2 linked regions of the Caenorhabditis elegans genome follow. The protein of the gene in region 1 purifies or fractionates together with the protein of each later gene. This does not show direct contact. Each region holds a gene or a part of one and is shown in the gene's direction. Other genes may lie near its edges.

What was found.
Region 2: the proteins of zig-1 (region 1) and gtnt-14 fractionate together in Caenorhabditis elegans (co-fractionation; one large-scale study listed by BioGRID). This does not show direct contact.

The regions. Positions count from the first base shown.
Region 1 is NC_003279.8:9,845,200-9,849,131, forward strand, and holds the start of zig-1 (Zwei Ig domain protein zig-1), read left to right. Parts: upstream 1-2,206; 5' UTR 2,207-2,207; coding exon 2,208-2,375; intron 2,376-2,421; coding exon 2,422-2,536; intron 2,537-3,322; coding exon 3,323-3,391; intron 3,392-3,458; coding exon 3,459-3,544; intron 3,545-3,739; coding exon 3,740-3,824; intron 3,825-3,874; coding exon 3,875-3,932. UniProt on the Caenorhabditis elegans protein: Probably not involved in maintaining the position of ASI and ASH head neuron cell bodies and ventral nerve cord axons of PVQ, PVP, RMEV, AVK and HSN neurons.
Region 2 is NC_003283.11:10,503,910-10,507,841, forward strand, and holds the start of gtnt-14 (Glycosyltransferase family 92 protein C35A5.5), read left to right. Parts: upstream 1-1,943; 5' UTR 1,944-2,002; coding exon 2,003-2,400; intron 2,401-2,444; coding exon 2,445-2,547; intron 2,548-2,623; coding exon 2,624-3,408; intron 3,409-3,593; coding exon 3,594-3,738; intron 3,739-3,788; coding exon 3,789-3,920; 3' UTR 3,921-3,932. Other genes in the region: C35A5.10 (uncharacterized protein), read left to right, coding at 327-456, 507-666, 713-978, 1,076-1,380.

The DNA.
Region 1 (3,932 bases):
TAGAATTGTATTGTTTCGAACTGGAAGAAACCAATCTTAAATTAGCTGATATTATCATTTTTGTGCTCCTGTTGTTGTTTGTATTCACTTTCAAGTGATGAACAACAAGGAATAAATACATATGTATAACCATTTGAAAGAATGAAAAATAAAAACAAGGTTGTCATGACATTCATTTTCTCGTCCACTTTCTATCCATTTCCTTTCCATTACTTTAACCGGAAACTAACAGGGTTGGACCACTACAGCTTTCTCTTTTTTTTTCTCTTTTTCCTTTACTTTATCCAAGGCTCTGAGAAGAAATGCTTTTAGCATTCCGTTTTGACTCTTTTTTTGCCTTTTCTTACCCCAATTTGTCGAGTTTTTTCCTGGGACTTTTCAATGTGACATGTTGCTCTTTCTGGTTTGCATAAGTGATGTGACAAGCAGAAATAGTATTCAAGAAATGGAGATGTTAAAGAAAGAGGTCGAATTGTGAATGAGCAAAAGGTTCTCTCAAGAGAGGTTATTCATGAACAGATTTCAATTTACTGCAGGTTTGAATGGTGCCTTTTGTGACGATTTCAATCCAATTTCGTTCTTTTCATGTTTTTTATATATAGGATAGTCTTCTAGACTTATATATCTCAAAAATTGAACGGTCTAATTCAACTCCTTCCGTCTGAAATATCGGTCTGAAAAGTTATTGAAAATTATTTATACGATTTATGTTGTTTTTTAAAAAATTTTCCCGAGAATACCAAAATTCCAAAAAGCTTCCTATCATCTCTAAACTTATCATAAGACCACAGAAAACTGATGTTGAAAAATTCTACGGGTTTCAGATCTACATTTCAGAGGGTATTAGTTGAGTTTTCCCGCTTACATTTGATGATATTCTAATCAAAGCTTTGCATGTTCTTTCAAATGAAACATTTATTTTCTTGGAAGACCAGGGATAATCTGACAGCTACAATGATATTTTTAGGATCGAGTGCAACTAGTTCGAAAAAAGATGGCAATTATCCCAACATTGATCAGAAGGCATTTTCAAATTTTGAACTGTCACATGAAAGAGTCAAAAATCAAAATGTCTCCAACAGGAATAATCCGACAATTGGAAGGTCTCTTGGGAGATGAACCACTTTAGTCTCTTCCTCTCTCTTTTCCTCTCGTTCTTTACTCTTAAACTCTCATCTCTAATAGCTCCCAGAAGTCAAGCGCGTCTTTTCCTTGCTCTTCTTCTTCTTCTGCTCCTTTTGCTCTCTTCAAGAGATCTTCTCTCATTTCTGCGTCTCTCTCACTCTCCACACTCTCTTTTTTACTCTCACATTTTCCACCAATTTTCGCCCCGCGGCAACGGGCCTGGGAATACGAAAGAAGAAGGTTCTTCTTCTTCGTTTTTCTCTCGATATCCTCTCGATATCCTCTCTCTTCCAATTTCTATTCCATTGCACACTCACTACCTATCTATCTTCCTAATTTGAATTGAATTGAAAAGAATGAAAAAGAGGAAATAAGAGAGCATTAGATAGAAGAACCCCCTATTCATCGGTTACTGCTTATTCTTCGAGATCCTTATTCATTTCTTTTATGGATAGAATCTAGTAGCTTCATGAGCATTCTTATTCATGATTTTACCAATTGGTCAAGCATGGGAACTTATGTTTATTAATTCTTACTAGGGAATACCGTATTTCATTAGTTGAGAGTTCACACATTTACTCCACTTTAACACAATATAGCTCATGCTCAATTCATTTTACAAATTTGAAAAAAATAATCAACTACAAAACTGTGGAATAAAAAATTATAGTGAACAATTTTTCTGATAAACAAACAAAAACAACTGACTATACGAATCAATTGAAAATTGCGCATTTTATAGTTGAATATAGCGACTACCATAAAATCAAAAAATTACCATTTCAATTTTATTCCAGTTTAATTGCATTTTACAATTTTAACACTAAATCGAGTTTATTAAAGTTTTCAAGTGAGTATAACTCCAAAACTAGTCTAGTATATCATAAATTTCTATGAATAATCTTTGTTTTAATTGTATTGTTACTGCATGTCGTATTTGCTCTTTAAATCTGATTTTGAAATTCAAAAAGTGCACTTTCGTTTCTTTGTTCAATTTGGAATTCTAAAGCATCAGAAAATTCTCTTCAATTTCTCCTCAATTTATGTTTTTCTCATTAGTTTTCTAAAAGTATATTTTTAGTATGAAAAACCTACTACTAATCACATTTTTCGTGGTGAGCACTGTCACAGCTCTCGGTGGAAGAGGATCCAAATCTGCATTGGTCTTGGTTGCTGCTCGTTCTTCGGAAAATCATCCACTTCATGCAACTGATCCAATCACAATTTGGTGTGCTCCAGACAATCCACAGGTTTTTATCACTTTATGATAAATTAACTTTTACAGTGTTGTTTCAGGTTGTCATAAAAACTGCACATTTCATTCGATCTTCAGATAATGAAAAGCTCGAAGCTGCGTTGAATCCAACCAAGAAAAATGCGACATACACCTTTGGATCACCATCAGTGAAAGGTTTGTTGGCATTTTTTAAGGCTTACAAAAAAATTTGTTTGAGCTCAATTTTATAAATAAAACCTATTCCATTAGAAGGATAATGTTTTAAATAGGTCCCTATAGAAAGTGTAGCTGTATAGGAACACTTTGAACTTTAAAAAGTCAATTTAGAATTTTTTGTTAAAAGCCTACTTTTATTTAATAAATGATGGAAAAATCGTTATGGAAAAGTCTTTTTCAAGTCTAATTTCAATTTTAACATGTTTTGTGAAACTGGGAACATCTCAAATGTTGCCAATTGAAATCTGAAATTTTTTTAAATCGAGTTTAGTGAAAACAGTTTCAGGAAATAAGATTCTCCAGAAAAGTATAATTTTCTCCTCTAAAATCATATCAAAACTGCAAGACCAATCAGCGACTAACTCTGCCCACTTTTGAACCAATCAGATGAAGTGTAGTTCAGAAGAGGGCGGAGCAAAACGCTGATTGGTCTTGCAGTTCTCATTTTGAAGGAAATTTAACCAGAGAGATCAACCAAAAATATAAAAAAAACCAATTTTTCATGTTGGGATTTTCCTTTTTTCTCGTAATATTTGAGGAACTCTGATCATTTTGGAAACTCTAAAGCTTGACTTTGTAAGCATCAAACGTTTTTTGGTAGCTTTATTCCAACTCTGTATCAAAATCACCAAAATATGTTCAATCGGAACATCTGGATCTAGGTAACAATGGAATTGTTGCTAACAACACATGTGTGTCTACGTCTCTACATCTCCAATACTATTTCATTTTGTTGTTTTGCAGATGCCGGCGAGTACAAATGTGAGTTGGACACACCACACGGAAAGATCAGCCATAAAGTCTTCATTTATTGTGAGTGAGGGAATGATGGGGCAGGTGACCCCAAGGAAAAAAAAACATGAAAATAATGAAATTGCAGCAAGACCTGTTGTACATTCTCACGAACATTTTACTGAGCACGAAGGACATGAATTCCATTTGGAAAGCACTGGAACTACTGTTGAGGTATGCACATTTTTTGTGGTTTTCCCACTTTTTGGTGAAGCGTGAAAAAAGATTTTGCTCCTGAAGCTACCTTTAATAAACCTCAAAAAATTTGGGTTCTTTTGAATTAAAAAAATCGTTTTAAAGTAATACAAAATAAATATTTTCTAAAAATACAAAACAATTACAGTAATCATTTCAAAAACTTTTTTCCAGAAAGGAGAATCAGTGACATTGACTTGTCCAGTAACAGGATACCCGAAACCAGTTGTCAAATGGACAAAAGATTCTGCCCCACTTGGTAAATCATATTCAAATCTTTTTTTTGTTTCTCACCTGATGAAATTTCAGCTCTCAGTCAATCAGTTTCAATGGAAGGAAGTACTGTAATTGTTACAAATGCTAATTA
Region 2 (3,932 bases), on another chromosome or scaffold:
TGAAAAAAAAAAGTTGGTTAAATGTGATGAAATCAAAAACCTTGAACAAATGGTAGCTTCATCTCTTTTTTCTTTCCTGAAACAACGCAACATTTCAATAAAGTCCTCCGCAGATCGTTTCTTCCGAAATCCCACGCTGATCTGGTCAGAAGTACCTCCAAAGTACAGTCCATTTCCTCTTCAAAGTGCTCATGCACACACCCATGCCACGGCAGACATGACGTAATTGACCGTCTTCGGAGCACACCCTGGAAGTATAAAAGACATGTGCTGATCCATTTTCAACACACTTCCCCATATTCTCACTTTCATTTCGGTGTTCCAAAATGGCAAAGATATTCTGTATGTTAGTTGTCCTTTTGGTATCATCGTCTTTTTGTTCTGCTAAAGATTTGAAACGGTCTAAACGGCAGATGCAAGTTTATTATATGTGCAATGGAGGTGTATCTCAATATCGTAAGTTATAGCGACTTGGAACTTTTAAATAATTTCGCATGGTCATTTAGCGTGTAACTCAAACAACAACTGTAATAACAACAATTGTAACTTCAACAATTATGGAAATCAAGTTATTCTTCCTTCTTCATTTTACAATCCAAACATGAATTGCAACTCAAACTGTAACAATCTCAACTGCAATCAATATTCAGGATCCTGGCTTAATGGGTTAGACTTTTCAGGTTTTAAATTAAAGCTATAATCTAATTTTTAGACAATATGTTGCCTATAACATGGGATCCAATGCTTACTCTCCATGTGCTAGCTCATGCTGTTCCAACAACAACAACAACTATAATCCATACATCAATAACAACTACAATGGAAACTATAATCCATATGGAACCAGCAATGGAGGTTATAATGCATATGGAACTATTCCTGTAAATGTAAATGTACCAAGCAGCAGCACAAATACAAATGTAAACCAGTACTTGCCGTACGGAGCACAACAGTTCACTGGAACTTACCAAAACGGACGTAAGGCATAACTAACAACTCTACTAATTTTGTTATGTTTTAACCTTATTCTTAATAAATATAAAACACTTTCAACAAATAGAGTTGTCGTTTCCAGAGTTCTTCTGTGGAGCCACAGAGCCATCGGGTGGAGTTTGTCGTAACAACGGGGTGTGCCCATCAGGACATAGTTGCGTAGCCGGAAATGTCTGTTGTCGTTGTCCAGTTGGATCAAGCGCCGGAAACTGTATACTTCAAAGTGACTGTTCTGCTGGATATGAATGCATGGGAACTGGATATTGTTGTCCTTCTCAAGTCTTATCAACAACTAAACTTGGACCATGTGTTGATGGAGCCTGTCCACTTCCTGGATACACTTGTGGCGTTGGAGACTTGTGCTATCCAGATAGTTACTTTTTGTAATTTATTGAATTTCTGTTATGTATTGAATTTTCCATTGTTCTTGTTCTCTGCTCAATTTGAAATCTCTTTGTATTATTTATTGAAGGTTAATGGCGTAATTAATAAACATTTTAATAACTTTTTATCTCTGGAAGTCAAAATCTGCAGTTGGCATCATTATGGTAATAAATTGCTAGTAAAATTCATAACTTATTTGATTAAAAACTACTAGGTGATCAATTTGATGAAATTCGATCATATTTTGAAGCATAGAACCAGGGACAGCGATGGCGAGGACATGGGCATGGGTTTTGCTATTGTTCTTTCAAAACCAATTCCACCCTATTGTCAATATTTTTGACATTGGCAAACGAACTTCTCTGAAAACTTTTTTTTCTTCGTGTTTTCAAACTTCAAGTAAACCTTCTGCAATGTCTAATACTGTCCTAACAAATGAAGATCGTTATTTTCTCTTGGATCGTAAATCCTATCGTTGAAATAGAATTTCCGCGACGAGTGAACCGCGTAACGTTTACCCAAATCTGAAGATGGCATCTACGGCATCCGTACAATAAAACGGTATCCATTATTTTTGAATTTCCAGATTCCAACCTCGTTCATCCATATTTTAATAAATTTAATCATGACGAAAATTAAACGACAAATTAATAATTTCGATTTTCGTCGAATCAAAATACTTTTGAAAAAATGGAATGTTGTAATTTACTTTGTACTAATACTTATATGTTTCTATTTTATTATTCCTATATATTTTCCGAACAACGATAAAATGAATTTGTGGTTATCATCAATTAAATATTATTTGACGTATCCCATTTATAATGAATCTTTAACAAAAACGGATGCATATATAATCAATACATATTACTATCCAAAATCGAGTTCATTAGGAGAAAATGCGATTGGAATGATTCTTTTAATGAATCGAAATACTCAAAGAGACATGACAAAGTATAGAATGAAATTGATTGCATCTAACTCTTCACATCAATCCGTGATTGTCACACCCAAGTTCTTGGAGTCAGCTGATTTTTTTGTCTTTTTTTTCATTTTTAATTTTTTAGAGAATCGTACTCCAGTTGCCCATACATTAACATGGTTGCAATGGTAAATACTTTGCCAAATTTGAACAAGTTGGAGATTTTTGATGGTGAAAGAAAAATGGAGGTTCGTGATTTAATATTGAAAAAAAAACGTCTATTCTTGGTTTATCAAAGTTAAATTATAGAAAACCCTGTTCCAGATTCCGTTCCAAATGGGTAAAACTACAGCTCCAGCATCTGTAATTATATGTATTTCTCCTCAATTTGTGGCAGAGCAGTGGCAATTATTTGTGGCACATGCACATGTTGCTCGGAAATTTGGAGGTCATCTTCACATGTACGTTACAAGTATCATAGATACATTCTTCGATTTGGTCCAAGAGTACGAAAGACTTGGTTATGTTACAATTGACTATTGGATGAGATTGAAATTGGCAAACTCATCGGTTGATTCTGTAGAGCCTAATCTTCATTCGGAACTAAGAAATCAAGCAGGAGCTCAATCGGATTGTCTTTATCAATACAAAGAAGCTGCTGCGTTTATCACTTTTTTCGATTTGGATGATATTTTCATTCCACGTGGGTATGATTCGTATTTTGACGAATTTTCTGCTTTGTATGAGCTTCATCCAAATATTCTAACATTTCAATATACAAAAAGAGAAACAATGGTCTACAATAAAGCAAAAATAGAAGATATAAATTTCGAAGAGTTGTTTGGTCACACTTGGTTTGTGAATGAAGAAGATTACGGAAAAGTTATGACAAAACCTGGAAATTTGAATTCAATGTGGATTCACGAATCATGGAATATTCCAACAAATCGGCATCATGTTAGTAAAAGCAATTACATAATTCATATGCAGAAACCAGTTGATCCAGATGGAACTGATCCAGTTTCCTATCGAATGAGCAATTTTGAAATGTTGGAGAGCATGCAACTGAATGCTTCTACTTTGATACCCATTCAGGATGACTTGGAAAGGTCTTTTTATTACAACTTTTTGAAACTTTTGAAACTTGAAACTTTTGAAGGAAATCTTCTTGAAGTATTCAATTTTTGATACAAAAAAATCCACAATGTTTTATATATTTATGTGTCATGAATACAATTTTAATCAACTCACAAACGAATCGATTCTATTCTTTCTTACTAAAAAAGTTTTTCAGAGTACTCAAATCATCGAATATTTCTATGACCGCTGAAGATCTACCAAATAAAACATACTACTTCCCAATTATTTACCGATGTTATTATGAAAAATTTTACAAAAAACCAAAGAAAGACTCATGTCCAAATGGAGAGGGATGCTTGGTGAGTTACCAAATTTGTTATAATATTAAAAAGTATTCAATTAATTTCAGATTCCACAACGAACCGGTACAAATTGTATTCACTCAGACGCTGATTTCAAATCAGGTCCAGAAATGTGGCCAATTACATATCATTATCATGTTAATTCAAAATGGTCTCGAACCAAAGGATGTCATGCCTAATTTTTCCTTATT